Alligator mississippiensis: one gene and its partners. The protein of the gene in region 1 interacts with the protein of each later gene in a pairwise test. Links are inferred from orthologs where the notes say so. Each region holds a gene or a part of one and is shown on either strand. Other genes may lie near its edges.

Region 1 (5,376 bases):
TCAGTTGCTCAGTTTTCAATTTCAGTTGGTAAATGATAGCTACACAAGCTGGAAAGGCCATTTTTATAAATTTTGTGCATGCTCAATTTTTGGAAGTCTCCAAAAATGTATATGCAAATGAGGCCCAGGGCACCTGGTCTGGCTCCACTTGATGGAGTGGGGGCCCACACTAATCACGTACGAGAGGATGAGAGAGGAGGCAACAGGGATTCTGGGTGAACCATTTGGGAATGTCTACCAGACACTTAAGGCAGGTGAAGAAACAGAAATCATTGGAAATAGAAAAGAAAGGCACAACTCAGTGTGGGAGTCAAGTAGAAGTTGACATGTATACAATGCAGTAGCTTATCATGAGTTGAAAGAGTCGGCACTGGGGGGGACTGCACCCAATGGGCACTACCACACATCTGATTTGGAGAAGTTGCACTAACCTATCCTTGCAGTAGATTCTATCAGTGTGTTTACCCAAAGTAGGCCATGTATTTTATAGTCATGCTCAGCATTGGCTGCATTTAATCAACTTTATATCTGGTTTACTGAGCATGTGCTGCTGTGAGCAGCAGTTTAATGATAGACGGTGTGTTTAATGCAGTTTCCTTGTAAGTGAGATTTCTCTAGTGGCTTTTCTCCCCATGCTGATTGGGGGAAAAAACTGTCTTATATTTGAGTAAATAAAATATATGAAACTCACTGTGGTAAACTAAAGTCTGTTCCGAATAAAAGCAGTCTCTTGATAGGAGGATATAGCTGTTACTTTAAGAAACTTAAATTTAAAAAATCCATAGTACAGAACTACAAAGCATATCACATGGATTATGAGCATTCAAGTTCAAACTGTTTCAAAGAAGGTGCTGCTCTGTATATAGAACAAGTTTGTTGGAAAGATGAAGGATTAGTAGAGTAGATAAGGTTCCTTAAAATAAAAAGAAATGTTGCTTCTTTTTCAACCTTCTCCCTTTTAGATCTCTTCAGTACACGCATAAACTGCCCCCCCCCCCCCGTTTTTTACGTCATCAAGGTTAATTTTGGTAGGTACATGTAAATATTACAACTTGAGAATCATTTATTATAACATTTGTCAAACAACCAAAGGACATTAGCATTAGTATTAAAAAGTCTACACTTTCTTTAGCCAAGTCCACTGAGTTAAACACTTGGTCCTGGGTCACTGGATTCTGGTGTGCTGACTTCCTAGAGACTAAAACTTGCCAAGCAGAAGTATGCCACAATCTGCTTTTTCTGGGTATTATGTATATCCAAAGGCTTAACAGTGTTTGTACTACCTCAGAGTTTAGGGTACGTACAGCACTGTGAAGCCTGACTTGCCCTCTGCTTCTAAATCTGCCCCAGTGGCCAACAGACAGGATGATTACAAGGCAAGGTACCATTGTCTTTTAAAAGTCTGGCAGCAACACATGTATTTCATTCAAAGAACCGAATCACTTATAAAGCCATAAGATTTGTAATTCAATTAGAAAGCACTTGCTCAAAAAATGCCTGTAAAGTGACTGAAGCTGATCTTGCTTAGATTAAGGGAAGTGTCCAAAAACAACTGGCTTTAGGTCTTACAGTTGTTAGTTTGGTGGTGTATTAACCATTAAAATGAAGGATCATGGGAAAGGTTTATTTTTCTACCATCAAGACTACAGACATGACCAGAGGGAGCAGAAGTTTACAACTTCCACATGTTTTTAAAAGTTAGCTTGTTAGCGAAAGATATCCTTGAAGACACTAAATCCAGAAGCCTCAAGTTCTTTCAACTGTGTCACACATTTGACTTTGGGTAGGTCCCTTCACCTCTATGCACTTCACTTCTGTCTTTTGTGAAGTGCAATAACGTTATTACCACATGTCTAATCCTGCAGAAGCTCATTTTTTTTAGTATTCAACTAACCCCATGCTTGGAGCCAATGCATGGACAGAGCTGCATGAACATCAATGCATCAAGTTCCCCTCCTCAGGAGGGCAACAGGAAAAAAAAAACAAGCCAACCTTTAGAGACAGCTATGGAAGTGCAGAGGTGGCTCTCAATCTTATTTTACTTTGTTGAAGACACAGAGGCAGAACAAATGTAAGTAACGCTTTGTACTGCCTCTCTCCCTCACTTGATCTTTGATCCGGCTGCCAGTCTCTGCTCCACCCGACTGAGCTCTGCCCCTTGCTGGGCTCAGGAAGTGCAGAGCTGAAAGTCCCCCTGCCAATACCAAACCCGGCCGCTGAGGGATCGCACCCGACCCGTCCACGCGCTCAGTCCGTGCAAAGATATCCCCATTTAGACTTGCGGCATCCCCGGCTCCGGCCCCGGCCCATGCGCGACCCCCCCGCCGCCGGGAGGCCGATGGCGGCTCCGGCCCCGAGGAGACCCCGGGCAGGCGCGGACCCGCTCCCGAGCAGCGATTGCTGCACATCTCAGCGCCCACAAGCCGCTTCTGCGGGCGGCCGGCGGGATTTCCCCTCCCCCCCCCACGTGGGTGGATCAGCAGCCGCCGGCCGAGGCAGGGGACGGGCAGGCTCCTGTGCTGTGGGCTGCTGTCACGGCCCGGGGGCTGCCATCCCCCCCTCCCCGCTTTTGGCACAGCGGGCCCTGCAGTGACTCACACACACACACACACACACGTACACGCACACACACATATGCGCGCGCAGTGGGGCGATGTCACCGCCGGTCCCCGGAGCCGCAGGCCGGGAAGGAAGCGTCGCGCGGGGCCCGAGGAGCAGCCATGGGTCAGGGTGCCCCCTCCCCGCCCGCACTCACCGCCACCGGTTGATGCCCACGTTGGAGGACCCCGCGAACCAGGGGTCGAGGATGTAAACGCAGCGCACGGTGTCGGCGCCCTGGATGCACTCACGCAGCGCCGGGTTGTCGTGCAGCCGCAGCCCCTTGCGGAACCAGTGCACCGCGTTCACCCCCATGGCAGGCCCGGGCAGGGATCCCCTCAGACGGGGCCGCGCCTCACGCCGGCAGCGGCAGGCGACAGGGGCCGCATCTCCTCGCAACAGCCCCCGCGCGGGGGTCGCTCGCGCAGAGCCCCGCCCCCTCTTTCAGCAGCACAACGGCCGGTCACGCGCAGGCGGCGGCTGGTGGTGTGCGCGGGACCCTGCAGCTCGCGCCGCTCGCCCTGTACCCGTGCGCCCGATCTGCGCCGGCGGCCAAGCCCCGTCCCCGCTTCCCCATTGGCTGCCGCCGCCCCACGTGACCCCCGGCCATCACGTTTCTCGAGTGTGTTTACTACCCGGAGTGTGGGGGGAGAAGCAAAGAGGAGGAGGGCAGGAGAAGAGGGCGGGCAGCTCGGCGTGGCGCCGAGGGCCGGTAGCCACTGAGACGCGAGCAATGTAGCGAGGCCGTGCCTCGACCGCCCCCGAGGCAAAGCTTCCTGGATGGAAAAAGGAGGGAACGGAGTGAAACAGGGAGGGGGGGGCTTTCGGGCTTGGCCCCGCCCCCTACCAGAAGCCCGGATGAGCACGGGGCTTCGAGGCGTCGGAGCTGCTGCTTGTGCCCATGCGCCAGAGCCGCGGCGCGCCGGCACTTGTGGTTGGTTGAGGGGGTGGAGCGAATGCCATGCGTATCGAAGGGGGGGGGCTTGCACGCATGCGCAGTCTCCCCCTCTTCTGCGGACGTGGCGGGGCGGGTGAGGCCCACGCAAGCGCTTACATAATTGCGCGGCAGGCCCCGCCCCTTTCTCAGCACAGCCCTGCGGCCGCGTGCGACTCCGCGTGCTCGCTCCCCCAATGTGCGGGGGAGAAAAGGTGTGCGGGGGCGTGGCGATGTAACCCGCGAGCTAGACTTCCCCGTCTGCCCCTGCCCCCTTTAATCCGGACCCGGTACATCTGGTGCCGGCTGACCCAGTTCCCGTGCCCTTCACGGGGAGGGCGGGACAGCCGGGAATAACGGGGGAGGGCTAGGGCCGGGTGCTGCTGTGTTCCCACAGCCGGCGCAGGGAGGCAGGAGCGAGTTGGGCTCCGTGGTTGTCAACGTTTTTTCGTTTGCAGAGCCCCTGAGAAACTATAAATGGGGGGCAGCCCCCTTTGGGACTCTGCTGCGGGTGTAGGGGACATAAGTAGATAATTACTGACGCACTTTTAAAAATAATAAGAAAAAGCATACCACGTTGTGAGCTCACCCTTTTGTCCTCGGTTCTAGTGAGATGGTTGAGCTGCTTGGCAAGAAAGCATGTGAAGGTTTGATAGGGGAGGTAGATGGGATCTCTTTCATTAGACTGACTCAATAGTTGCAGGGGGAGGGGAGTTCTTTGCCATCTTTTGGGCACAGACACCCTTCTTCAGGCTTCTGTAGATTTGGGAGACTCTGCTCTCTGTGCTCAGCAAAGGGGGTTTGTGCCCGAAAGTTTGTCAAGAACTTTCTTCCAAATAGTCTACAAAGGATGAAGGACTAGATCCACCACCAAGGAGGAATACTCTGCTCTGGTCCAGACCTGCAGAGAGCAGACCAGCAAAGCCAAGGCTGCATGAAACTCCAGCTATCTACAAGTATCAAGGACAATAAAAAGTCCTTTTTTAGATACGTGGGGAGCTGGAGGAAAAGCAAGGGAACATTGGACCCCTGTTGAACCAGATCAGACAACTGACAACCAGTGCCCAGGAAAAAGCAAACTTGCTAAATGGGTACTTTGCGTCAGTTTTTCACCAGTCCCATGGGACACCCCTGCCCACTGTGAGTCAGGGAAGCCCGGGTGAGGGAGATTCGTTGCCCTCCATCAATGCTGACCTCATGAAGGAACACCTTGAGAGGCCGGACACCTTCACATCAGCTGGCCCTGACAATCTACACCCCAGGATACTCAAGGAGCTGGCGAGTGTCATAGCCCAGCCCCTGGCACGGATCTTCTAGAACTCCTGGCACTCTGGTGAAGTGCCTGAAGATTTGAAGAAGGCCAATGTGCTGCCTATCTTTAAGAAAGGGAGGAAAGTGGATCTGGCAAACTATAGGCCCATCAGCCTGACCTCTACCCTGGGAAAGGTCTTGGAAAAGATTATCAAAGAGGCCATCCTTAACAGACTGGCTGACGGCAACATGATGGCTCAAGGATCTGTCCTAGGGCCTATACTATTTAACGTCTTCATCAATAATGTAGACATTGGTGTCAGAAGTGGACTGGCCAAGTTCGCTGAAGACACCAAACTCTGGGGTAAGGCATCCACACCTGAGGACAGGAGGGTGATCCAAGCAGATCTTGACAGGCTCATGAAAAAGGCAGACAAGAACCTGATGGTGTTCAACACCAAAAAATGCAAGGTTCTCCACCCGGGGGAGGAAAAACCTGCAGCATGCTTATAGGCTCGGCAGTGCTACGCTGGTTAGTGTTACAGATTAAATGGATTTGGGGGTCATCATTGACCACAAGATGAACATGAGCC
Region 2 (5,376 bases), on another chromosome or scaffold:
GGAGAAAGCAGGGGGCGAGATGCGGGCGGTGTCACCTCTGGGTGGGTGCAGGCAAGCCAAGAGTCTGGGGCACCTGCAAGACAGGGAGCAGGGTCAGGGCAGGGGAAACTGAGGCTGGGAGAGGTGCCCGGCTGTTCCCCATGCGGTGCTTGTACATGGAGCAGGTCCCAGGATGGCCCAACAAGTCCCCACACGGTGGAGGGAGTCTGGCAGAGAACCCAGGAGTCCTGGCTCAAACCCCCTCAGCCCCCACCCCGCAGACCCCTCCCAGAAGAAAACCCAGGCGTCTTGACTCCCCTCCCTCCATGTCCACTTTAACACATGCAGCCAGAGAACCAGGCGTCCGGTCCCTCCTCATGGTGTGGCACGTGCAGCCCCTTGGCCCTAAGCCAGGTGGGCACCACGTGGCCAGGACCATCTGGATTGTGCCCCCCTCCCCCCACCCCAGCTCCCTAATTACCCTCGAGATGGCTATTCTGAGCGCAAAGCCGGGCTATTGTTAGCTCCCTGCACTGCCTGTGGGGCTCAGCCCTCTGCCCAGGGGTTGCCCCCCCACCCCTGTCCTGCTGCCAAGAGCTCCCTGCCCCCACCCTGCCCCTTTGACTGGCCTGGCCTGGGTCCTGCAGCCTGGGCGTGTGAAGCGAAGCAGGAAGGGGCTGGCAGGGTGCCGGGGACAGGAAAACCCTGGGGCAGCTTTTGCCAGGACCAGGAGGAGGAGGAAGAGGAGGATCGGTACCAGCACACACATGGGCATGGCCCTGCCAGTGTCTCTACAGACCGGGGGGGGCGGGGCCGGCCCTGCCAACAGTGTGCACAGGGACCCTACCCACGCACACGCACGCGGGGCCGTTGGAGAGACGTGACTCCAGGCCCGGGCACACAGAAAGACATAGGCTCGGAGACCGGAGGGGGCCCTGCAGGCACAGATGCCGAGACGGGGGGGCCTTACAGGGTCCCTGCCAAATCATATGCAGAGACCAGGGGGAGTCCTGCTGGCGCATACACAAAGACGGGGGGGCCCTGCCAGCAGAGACCTAGAGACCAGGGACCCTGCTGACATGCAGAGACGCTGGGGCGGGGGCCTGCTGGCACAAACACGAGAGACTGGGGGGCCTGTGCCAGGATGTACACAGAGATCAGAGGCCCTGCTGACATGCACACAGACACTGGGGGCCCCTGCCATCAGAGACCCAGAGACTGGGGGGCCCCTGCTGACATGCACACAGACAAGGGCGGGAGAGCCTGCTGACATGTACAAAGACACTGGGGACACCTGACAGGTACAGACACCGTGGGCCCCTGCTGACATGCACACAGATATAGGGGGGACCCTACTGACCCGTACACAGAGACTGGGGATCCCTGTCATGCACAGACACTGGGGCCCCCTACTGATGCATACACAGAAACCAGGGGCCCCTGCTGACACATACTCAAAGATCAGGGGCCCCTGCAGCACGTACACAAAGGGCAGAAGGCCCTGCTGATGCACACAGATGGGGTGGGGGAACCCTGCCAGTGTGTACACAGAGACCAAGACCCCTGCTGACATGGACGAAGACACTGGGGGGAGGGGGCCCTACCAATGTATACACAGAGAGTCCCAGCTGTCCACAAGCCGGGTGGGGGGGAGTTCCCTGCATGCAGCCAGACCCCAGGGACATGCCTCATGAAAGCCCATGCACATGCATCCACACCACTACACGCCCCCCGCTCACTCGCCAGCCAGCCCCAACCTGTGGCCAGGCTCTTGCTTCAGCACTAACCCCCCCCCACCCCCAACATGCGTGTGAGAAGCATGTACAAAGCAAGACAGGCATGAGAGGCAGAGGACAAGGCCACTAGCTTGGGTAGCACGGGGGGGGGGCACATCCTGCTGCTGGTGCCAACCTGGAAACCCCCCCGCAAAGTGACGGGCTCCTGCCCAGCAAGGCAGCAGAGCCCCCAAACTCAGCCAGCAGGACCTGAGCGTGCCCCAATCCCTTGGGCTGGGCGGCCGCCCCACCTCCCCACCTCCTCCCCCGCCCCAACCGCAGGCAGCAAACAGAGCAACGCGGAAGGCTGGGTCTGCGCCGAAAGAACATCCTGTACCCAGGAACAAACAGGCGTGTGTCATCCCCCGCCGCGGGCGCAAGGGGGGTGGTGCTGAGGCACCCGGGATACTCACGGGGTGCTCTCGGGGCTGGCCCAGAGGTTGGCGCTGCCTCTCCGGGGGTCACAGGGCTGGAGCAGTGTCCGCGGGGGGGGCCTGAGTGCACGGGGATGGAGATGATTCTTCGGGGGTCCCAGGTGGGCGGGATGTCCTCAGGGGTCCCGTCACACGGGGATGGTCCTTGGTGTCCTGGGGGCAGGGGGGTGTCCTCAGAGGTCCCAGGTGTGGGGCTGTGTCCCCAGGGGTCCGGTCACACAGAGATGGAGGTGGGGGTCCGGGATGCAGGTGTCCCCAGGGGCCTGTCACACGAGGCCGGAGCTGAGTCCTCAGCAGTCCCAGGTGCGGGGGTTTCCTCAGGGATCCCGTCACACAGGGATGGAGCCGATTCTTCGGGGGTCCCGGCTGTGAGGGGGTGTGTCCTGGGGGGTCCCGTCACACAGGGATGGAGCTGCGTCCTCGGGGGTCCTGGTCACATGGGAATGGAGCTGATTCTTTGGGGGTCCCAGGTGTGGAGGGAGTGGGTGTCCTCGGGGGCCCTGAGCGCGGGGCTGCCTCCTCAGGGGTCCCGGACACGTAGCACCAGCACGGTGCCCTGTTACAGGGCACCGGAGCAGGGTCCACAAGGCAGGCACGGTGTCCCCAGGTCCGGGGGCCTCAGCGGTGGATGGCCTCTGGCTCGGGGGCCGCGGCAGGGGCCGGGGGGCTCAGACGAGCGCGGGGGTGGCGGAGTCGGGGCCCGAGCGTCCTTGCGCCAAGGGAGCGACGGGTGCAGTGAGGCGAGCAGGCGGCGGGTGCGACGCTGGCCCCCGCGTTGTGTAACGCCAGGCTGATGTCAGCACCACTTACACAGGCCGCACGTGGACTGTGGTGCTGCCGCCCCAGGTCTCGGGGCCGCCCTCATTGGCTGAGCCGGCGGCCAATGGGAGAGGGGCAGGTTGCATAGCAATGAGCCCAGCGTCATTGAGGAAAGACGAGGGGGGGGGGGGTTGCTGCTGATGCCAGGCGTTGGCATGGCAGCGAGGGGGGGCTGCTGCTTCCGCTGGGTCCTCGCCCACCCCCCAGGTTGCACCCCCCCCCGCCCCGCTCTAACCACTCGGATGCACCCACCCCCCCCCAACCACTGGGTTGCACCCCCCCCGCTCTAACCACTGGGTGCACCCCCCCCCCCGGCTCTAACCACTGGGTGCACCCCCCCCGCTCTAACCACTGGGTGCACCCCCCCCCCCGGCTCTAACCACTGGGTGCACCCCCCCCCGGCTCTAAGCATTTGGCTGTACGCCTCCCCGGCTCTAAGCACTGGGCCCGGCCCCTCGCCGGGGCCCTGGTGCGCGGCCGAGCCTGGCTGGCGGCTGCGCGGGGCGGGGCGGGGCGGGGCGGCGGGCGGGCGGGCACGGCGCCAGGGCCTGTTCGCGCACCGCCGCTGCGGGTGCCAAGAACATCGTGTTCCCGGCGTGGCCGCGCCAACCGCAGCCGCTCCCTCCTGGCGCCCTGCCCCGCGTGCTAATTTGTTCCCGACCTGGGACGTGATCCCGATGTGGGACACGGGGTGTGGGGGGACATCAGGACCCCCAGCGCCCCACAGCCCCAGGGCTCACATAGGCCGGCACAGCGCAGGCCGAGGGGTCGCGCGGGCTGGCCCAGCGGAGGCGCGGGCGGGCGTCGTGCCCTGGCCGGCCCTGCCCTGCCCTGCCCCGCCGGCGGTGCCGGGACAGGGTGTCCCAGCCAGGGCTGGAACATCGGGGCGGGGCGGGGCGGGGGGCGGCACGTGGAAGGCCACGGCCCGCGCCCTCTGCCCTACTGTGTGCGCTGCTGCCGTGGGAACTGGACGCGCCACGTACAGCGCCGGGCGCTGAGCCCGCACCCCGGCCACGGCTCTCGGGAGGGAGCGCGGATGCCTGGGTTTTCGGCGGGGCTGGGACCCCGGACACCTGGGGGGCGGGGGGGGAAGAGCGATGACGTCAGAGCCGCCGGCCCCCTTGCCCCCCGGTGACGTAAGCGGGGCTCCCGGCACCGCCCCCCCTCCAGTCCAGGAACCCAGAGACCCACCCCCCACCGCCGGTTGGCCCCGCCCCCTCACGTGGAGCCCCGCCCCCCACTAGGTAAGGAGGCCCTGTCCCCTGGGAAATGAGGCCCACACGTGGCCCCGCTCAGTCCGAAGGTAGTAGCCCTGCCGTCATATGGAGCTTAGCTTCACCCCCTGCATCCCCCCGCGCCCTCATTGGCCGCCACCGCGCGCCGACCCCTCCCCCCTCGGCGCTCATTGGCCGAATCCCGGGGCGGCCGTTGGCTTCGCCCCCTTCGCCCCCATTGGCCGGTGCCGAGCAGCATGCAGGAGCTCGCGTGAGCAGGCCCCGCCTCAGCCCGCCGCCCATTGGCCCGGGCCCGCTGGGGCCCCGCCCCCGGCCGCCGATTGGCCCGCGGGGCAGGTGGTGGGGACACGTGCGGCCCTGCTCACGCGGCCACGAAGCAGGGGTGGAAACGGAAGCGGAAGCTGGGGGCGGAAGTGGCCCCTCGGGTGTCTAGGTTTGCGCGTGGCGGAGGCGGGCCGCACTCGAGAGCTCAGGCGTCCGCCCCCCCCCTCCCCCTAGCCCGGGCACCAGCTCCCCCGACGCGCACGATCCAGGTGTCCAGGCCTCATCACACCCCCTCCCCCCGCGCGACCTAGGCCCCCAACTCCAGGGACTCAGGAGTCCTGGCCCCGACTTCCTCCCCAGGGCAGGCAGCCAGGACCTCCCCCAACTGCCCTCCCCGCCCCCTCAGGCATCCAGGCCCCAGCCCCCCACTCCCCCAGGGGTCCCAACTCCCACCCACCAACCTGGACTGGGAACCCAGGTGTCCCAGCTCTCCCTGCCCGCTCCCCCCACCCCCAGCTCGCCAGGGTGAGAGTGGCTGGTCCACAGCCCTAGGTGGGGAGCCCAGACGCCTGAGTTCTCTGTGCCCTGGACCCTGCACTTCCATGGGTGTGTGAATCCCGGATGCTTGGGTTCAATGTGCAAGTGTATGTGTGTGACAGTCCCTGACACTTGGGTTCTGTGCATGTGAGAAGCCTTAACTCCTAGGTTCCACGTGCACGTGCGTGTGACTATTCCCGACGCCTGAGATCTGAGCACCAGCTTCCCCCCATGCGCAGGATCCAGCTGTCCAGGCCTCAGCACCAACCAACCAACCCCCCCCACCCCCGGACCTAGGCATCCGGTCACGCTGGGTTCTGGGTGTGCTTGCAT
Region 3 (5,376 bases), on another chromosome or scaffold:
CTGCATCCTCCTACTGAGGCCCTTGTCTTCCTGTCCCGCTGATGGAGAACTATTCCCTCAGCTCCCACAACAGTGGCTCTCCCCATGTCCCTATCTACAGGGCTTACTTGTATGTTGGTATATCTTTTTTTACTACTTATCCTGTTGCAGGGTTACCACTTGTATAAGATCATCCTGATTTTAACCAGGGGAATTCTGAATCCTCTTATAAGCCACTTGTAGGCAAGGTTGCAAACTCTTCAAACCAAAATCATAGAAAGCAGGCGTTGATGTTGCCATGAAAAATATGTTCTTTGTCAAGTGGAAATAACAATAATGACGCTGAGGTAATGTTGCAATTCAAATTTAGTGATGTGATGTGATGTGATGCAAATTAATGTCAGACAAACTTTTGATATAGTGATAGGATGTGGTGTGACAGGATATGCACGATAAGGTGTTGAAATGATGTACCGTTGATTATTTGGTATAACGGCACTACAGTGCAAACTGGATGTGACACAGCATGGAAATGCAACACTATTGCAACTGTCTGCCTTGCAGTGGGTCCCCTTAATGAGCCACAGTTGTGGCGATGATGCTATTGTTTTAAATGACTTGGAGCATGTTTAAATTCAGACTATGAACTGGAGCAGCGAGTGGCTTTGCGCTTTAGATGCTGTATAAATGACAACACTGCATCAGGATTAGGGTTGCCAACCCTCCTGGATTGCCCTGGAGTCTCCAAGAATTAAATATAAATCTCCAGAAGACTGCTGAGAGCCACCCGGAGATAAATAATAGGGCATTTGTTAAAATACATATTAAATGTTGAATCAGATTTATACAGCAGTCCAGTAGGTTTTTAAAATGTAATAGTAATGTGAATTTGCCCCCTGATATAAAGTCTCCACACTGTAATCTGTAATTGATATATGCAAGCAGACAGGCACATTTGCGTTGTGTGTCGCAGGCACGTTGGCATTCTGGAAAACTGCTGGGATGGATTCAAACAGAGCTGGCGACCCCAATCAGGATGCAACAACTTTTCATGACTATATGGTGGAACGATGGAGCTTCCCAGTGGCAACCAGGTGTGACACCAGGAGGCAGTGATGCTGCTCTGTCACAAGGCATCAGCCTGCCACGACCACACTGCACTGGTCTGCGGGTACGAGCTCCCCCATCACAGTGCAAGGCCATGATGGACCATTAGTGACTCCACGGTGCAGAACAGGGAGAGGTCACGGAGCTGTTATGACGTGAAAGGATGATGTAACACCCCCGGGCAAGATTATGACGTCCTGTGGCACTGCCTCGCAAGAGCAGGGAGTGGCAGCGTGACGTATTCGAACTACCCCGCGGCACGCGACGGTGACGTAGCAGGGAGGATGACATTACATCGCGCAGGGAGGCAATGACGGAGTTACCAGTGGTCATGGCAACAGTGCGTTGGACTTAAGACGCGCGGAAGGGGGGCTCCCACCATGGCGCCCCCAGGCGGGGCGGAGGGATCCATCCGGGTCCCCTCGCTCCTCAGCGTCGCGTGCGTAAACCCAGACAGCTGCTCCGCCCTCCCGGCTCCGCGAGGCGGGAGTTCAACCCCAAGAACCGTTTATGATTGGCTGTCGTTCCGCAAAGGGGGGTCCGGATTGGCCGGCGGGGGAGCGCCGAGGCCCGGCCGCGATTGGGCGCGGAGCTGGGGCAAGCGGCTTGCGCATTGGCCGAGAGGCGCGTTCGGGCTCGGGCGGGGGGGAGCAGCCATTGGCTGGAAAGTAGGTTAGTGGTGCGACGTTCGGTGGCAAGCCAGGCGGAAAGTAGGTCAGGGACGGGGGGCTGCGCTGGGTGTTGCTCACTGCATTCGGCGGGTAGCGGAGGAGGCGGGGGCCACGCGGGGCGACCACCCCCGCCCGCTCGGCCACGGTGAGGCGGGGGCTCGGAAGGGGGTCGCGCGCGGAGCGGGAGGCGGAGGGAGCAGGGGTTCCTCGAGGGCGCCTGCGGCCGTTGACCGGCCCCACGGCTGGCCGCGCTCCAGGCGCGCTAGTGTCTACGCGGGGGGAGGGGCGGACCCCGTGCGCGCAGGTGCAGCGTTCCCCCCCTTCGCCCCCTCCCCCCGTCCGAGCCCCGGGCCCGCGGATGGGCGCGGGCATAGTCCCCCTCCCTCTGGGCTGCCCCCCCCCCCACCCCGGTTCGACGGGGGGCGCTGCGGCTCTCCAAGCAAGTCGGCGATGGGCTCTGCATCCGCGCCTCGCTCGTTTGGCAGGGCCTGCTCAGCCCACCCCTCTGCTCGCCTCCTCTTGCTTGATTTATTTTATATTCTTTTAGTTTACTTTATTTGATCATTTTACTTTATTATTCTTCAGCAATTGGTCTGTGACCTGTAATGCTTTTTGGGTGTTGTGTGAACAGGTTTGAGATGGGACAGTGCTTGGGCCCCAGGCAGGACTGACACACAACCTGCCGCCCCCCCCCCCCCCTCCGTGAGAGGAGCTGTGTGGCCTGCCCAGCTTTGCTGGCGTTGGTTTTCTTGTTGTGTTTCTTTTTTTCTCTCTCTTTTTAAGAAGTGTAGCGGTGGTTAAGTACAGGCTGGATGTTGGCTGGTCAGGATCTGCCTCTCTGGCCCCTGGAGATTGCGTCTTGTCCGTTCGAACTCGTGCTGCAAACTGCGCTGTCAATTTTCTTTTCAAAGCTCTGTTCCCCTCTAGACATTATAGACTGGGTCATGGTGGGATGCTTTCAGCTCAGAACTGCATGTCCTTTGGTGGATTGGAAAGTACTTTTCCTGCCCAGGAGTCAAATTGCAAGTGTTTTGGGGTTTTTTTGTTTTTGTTTTTTGTCTCTTTGAAATCTGGCTTCCTCTTTATGCCTGGCATGTGCAAACTGGTGGTACTGGCAGCTCACAAAAGGCATTGAAAACCCAACCTTTTTTTCTGTAATGTTAAGCATTAACACCGCTTGTTTGTGTGTTTTTTAAATTGGTGTCTTTAAATGAAGTGATCCACCTCTGGAGTAAGTTTTTTAAATTAGGTTGTGTGGGAATGCAGTTGTATGAATTGAGGCAAATCAAAATAACCCTTATAAGCATCCAAAGCTGCATTTGTCAGTGAATGTCCAGAATCTCCCTACTTGTTTAAAATAGGTCTGTGCTCTTTCTTGTTCCTAAACAATTAATTGAGTATTTCTCATAACCACTAATGATTTTATGTCTGTCTGTAATGCAGTCTCCAAGTGTTGCTGCTCTAGGTTGTTATGGTGTGCTTCTACACCACTAGTACATGCTTCAGACCCTGCTGGGAATGCTCAGTATGTTCAGGGTCTGGAAAGGAGCTGCATACAGAGACTGGATAAACAAAAAGGGAGTGGAGAGGCTGGAATGACGTACGTTGCCCCCTGGAAAACCTGTGGACTGTGTCTTTTGCCTTGGGGTCTTGTGCAGCTGCAGATCCTAGGGTCAGCATTACTGTGGAAGTGCAGTACCTGCTTGCAAGTGGTATTAACTTCTCATTGACATTTGGGAATCTGCCAAGTTTGGAAGAAGCCCCATGACTCCTTAAAGGCTGAATCAAGAAGCTATCCACAGATGTACTTTAACAGAGATTTTTGCCTCATGCATCTGCCCCTGGATGTTCTTCTGTTAAGGGTTACCTGGTCAAAAGCAGTCGGGGTCCCAGACTGAAGGAAAAGCTGATGTTCCTTGGGGTAGGAGACAGGAATGCTGGACATCATGGGTTCAGTTTGACTAGGATTAAAAGTATGTTAACCACCACACCTTAATTCTAATAAGAGACGAGCTCTGTGATGATAGTACAACTTGTACTTCTTAAGTGAGTTTTGAAACATGAGGTTTTTAAATAGGCTTATGCTTTTTTTTGTTTGCAAAACCTTGCTGCATGTGTTATGACCACTAATGAGATACATTCAATAACCTGAAATATTGTCTACATGCAGAGTTTTTGCAAATTAATTAATTTTAATTAGTTAATTTAAAATGATTAGCATAACATTGAAGCTGGAAAGTAAGCACGAGTGAAGTAAAGACCTTGATTGCAGGGTTGACACTCCGTTGCTATTTCCCATATGTCATACTTTTAAATGTTACTGCATAAAGTCATGTCTTTGTCAGGAGAACTGGAGCACTGCACATGTGGCATGTTAAGCTTATGTTAGGTTTAACTTTTTGTTGTCTCTGGTTTACCTGCTTACTTGTCAGTCTTGAACATTTATTTATTTGGGTGCATTTGTATTTCCTTACAGTAAGGAGAGTAGGCAAAAGCAGGCAGCCATATTTACATGTACTTAAAAGTTTTAAAGTCACTAAGGAAGTGTCCCTAGATTGCATTCAACCCAGCCTTCTCTAGGAATCTGAGTGAATATACTGACTTAAGCCATAACTTCTTACTAATATTCAATTCTTTCTCCTCCAGTTTGGGTAGCTGCTTCTTTCTTTAAGGCCTAAATAGCTATGGACATTTTACAAGTCAATTTAAAATGTCTTTCACTTTGAGCTTGCATAATAATTATTTTTGTTAAAATTATTAACACATGAAAGGATATAGACTGAAATGCAACAGCTCAGACTGAATTCATAATTATTTAATAGTGTAGGTCATGTTCTGAGCTACTGTGGCAGGGTTACCCCTTTTAACTTAGGCCAGATTTTCTGAGCATAGTTAAGTGCTTTAGAAAAATGCCTCTGTATCTAAACCCCTCTTAAAAATCTGTCCTTGGGTCTGCTCCACTCTCGGAAGCATATACTGTCACTTTTAGACCAAATCAAAGACACTGATGGGAAGCATTGAAGGCTTTCATGTACAGCACAAGAAAAAGATGGTGTTTCCATTCTTCTCTGTGTATCTCAAGATAGTATTTGTAAGTAGTTTATGCCTGATACTTTCATGTTTGAAGTATATAATGTGAAAGGTTAGCTTTAGTGACTAGTTTCATTTTGTGACACCTAACCTTTTGAAGCTGCTGGATTCCTTCTTCAGTTCTGGAGAGTTTTTAATTATTTCAGGATTATTTGGGTTGCATGGGGGAAAAAAACAAAAGTGGGGGAGGAAGTCTTTTAAAAATCTGTCATACTTCAACATAATTGCAATTAGTACAATCATTTTCAGTGATAGTAGTATGCAACTCTGAAAAAGCTTAAAGCAATTTCAACCAGGTAGTCTGCTGGAGTCGTGCCAGATCGTTTTGAAGGGCTACTTGTAGTGTGAGCAGATAAACAGAGGCTCAGGTTGTCCTTGCCTGACCAATCCTCCACCCTTACTGCCTGGCCCCTCTGCAAGGAGGTAATGCTATACATACATTTAGGTTTTTTTAAACTGGGTGCTATTTAAATCACAAAATTGTGGAGGGGTGCCTCAAAGCCAGTGAGGGGTGCCCAAGTCCAAAAAA

What was found.
Region 2: the proteins of CRY1 (region 1) and PER1 interact in binary tests that used the Homo sapiens proteins (3 or more experiments, as listed by UniProt). The link is inferred for Alligator mississippiensis from reciprocal best matches to the Homo sapiens genes CRY1 and PER1.
Region 3: the proteins of CRY1 (region 1) and BMAL1 interact in a two-hybrid assay, tested with the Homo sapiens proteins (3 studies listed by BioGRID, with this or other methods). The link is inferred for Alligator mississippiensis from reciprocal best matches to the Homo sapiens genes CRY1 and BMAL1.

Annotation. Positions count from the first base shown.
Region 1 is NC_081827.1:104,109,421-104,114,796, forward strand, and holds the start of CRY1 (cryptochrome-1), read right to left. Parts: upstream 3,158-5,376; 5' UTR 2,914-3,157; coding exon 2,756-2,913; intron 1-2,755.
Region 2 is NC_081838.1:25,072,307-25,077,682, reverse strand, and holds the start of PER1 (period circadian protein homolog 1), read right to left. Parts: upstream 3,102-5,376; 5' UTR 2,168-3,101; intron 74-2,167; 5' UTR 1-73. UniProt on the Homo sapiens protein: Transcriptional repressor which forms a core component of the circadian clock.
Region 3 is NC_081825.1:201,880,574-201,885,949, forward strand, and holds the start of BMAL1 (basic helix-loop-helix ARNT-like protein 1), read left to right. Parts: upstream 1-1,739; 5' UTR 1,740-1,758; exon of another isoform or gene 1,759-1,796; intron 1,797-1,802; exon of another isoform or gene 1,803-1,902; intron 1,903-5,376. UniProt on the Homo sapiens protein: Transcriptional activator which forms a core component of the circadian clock.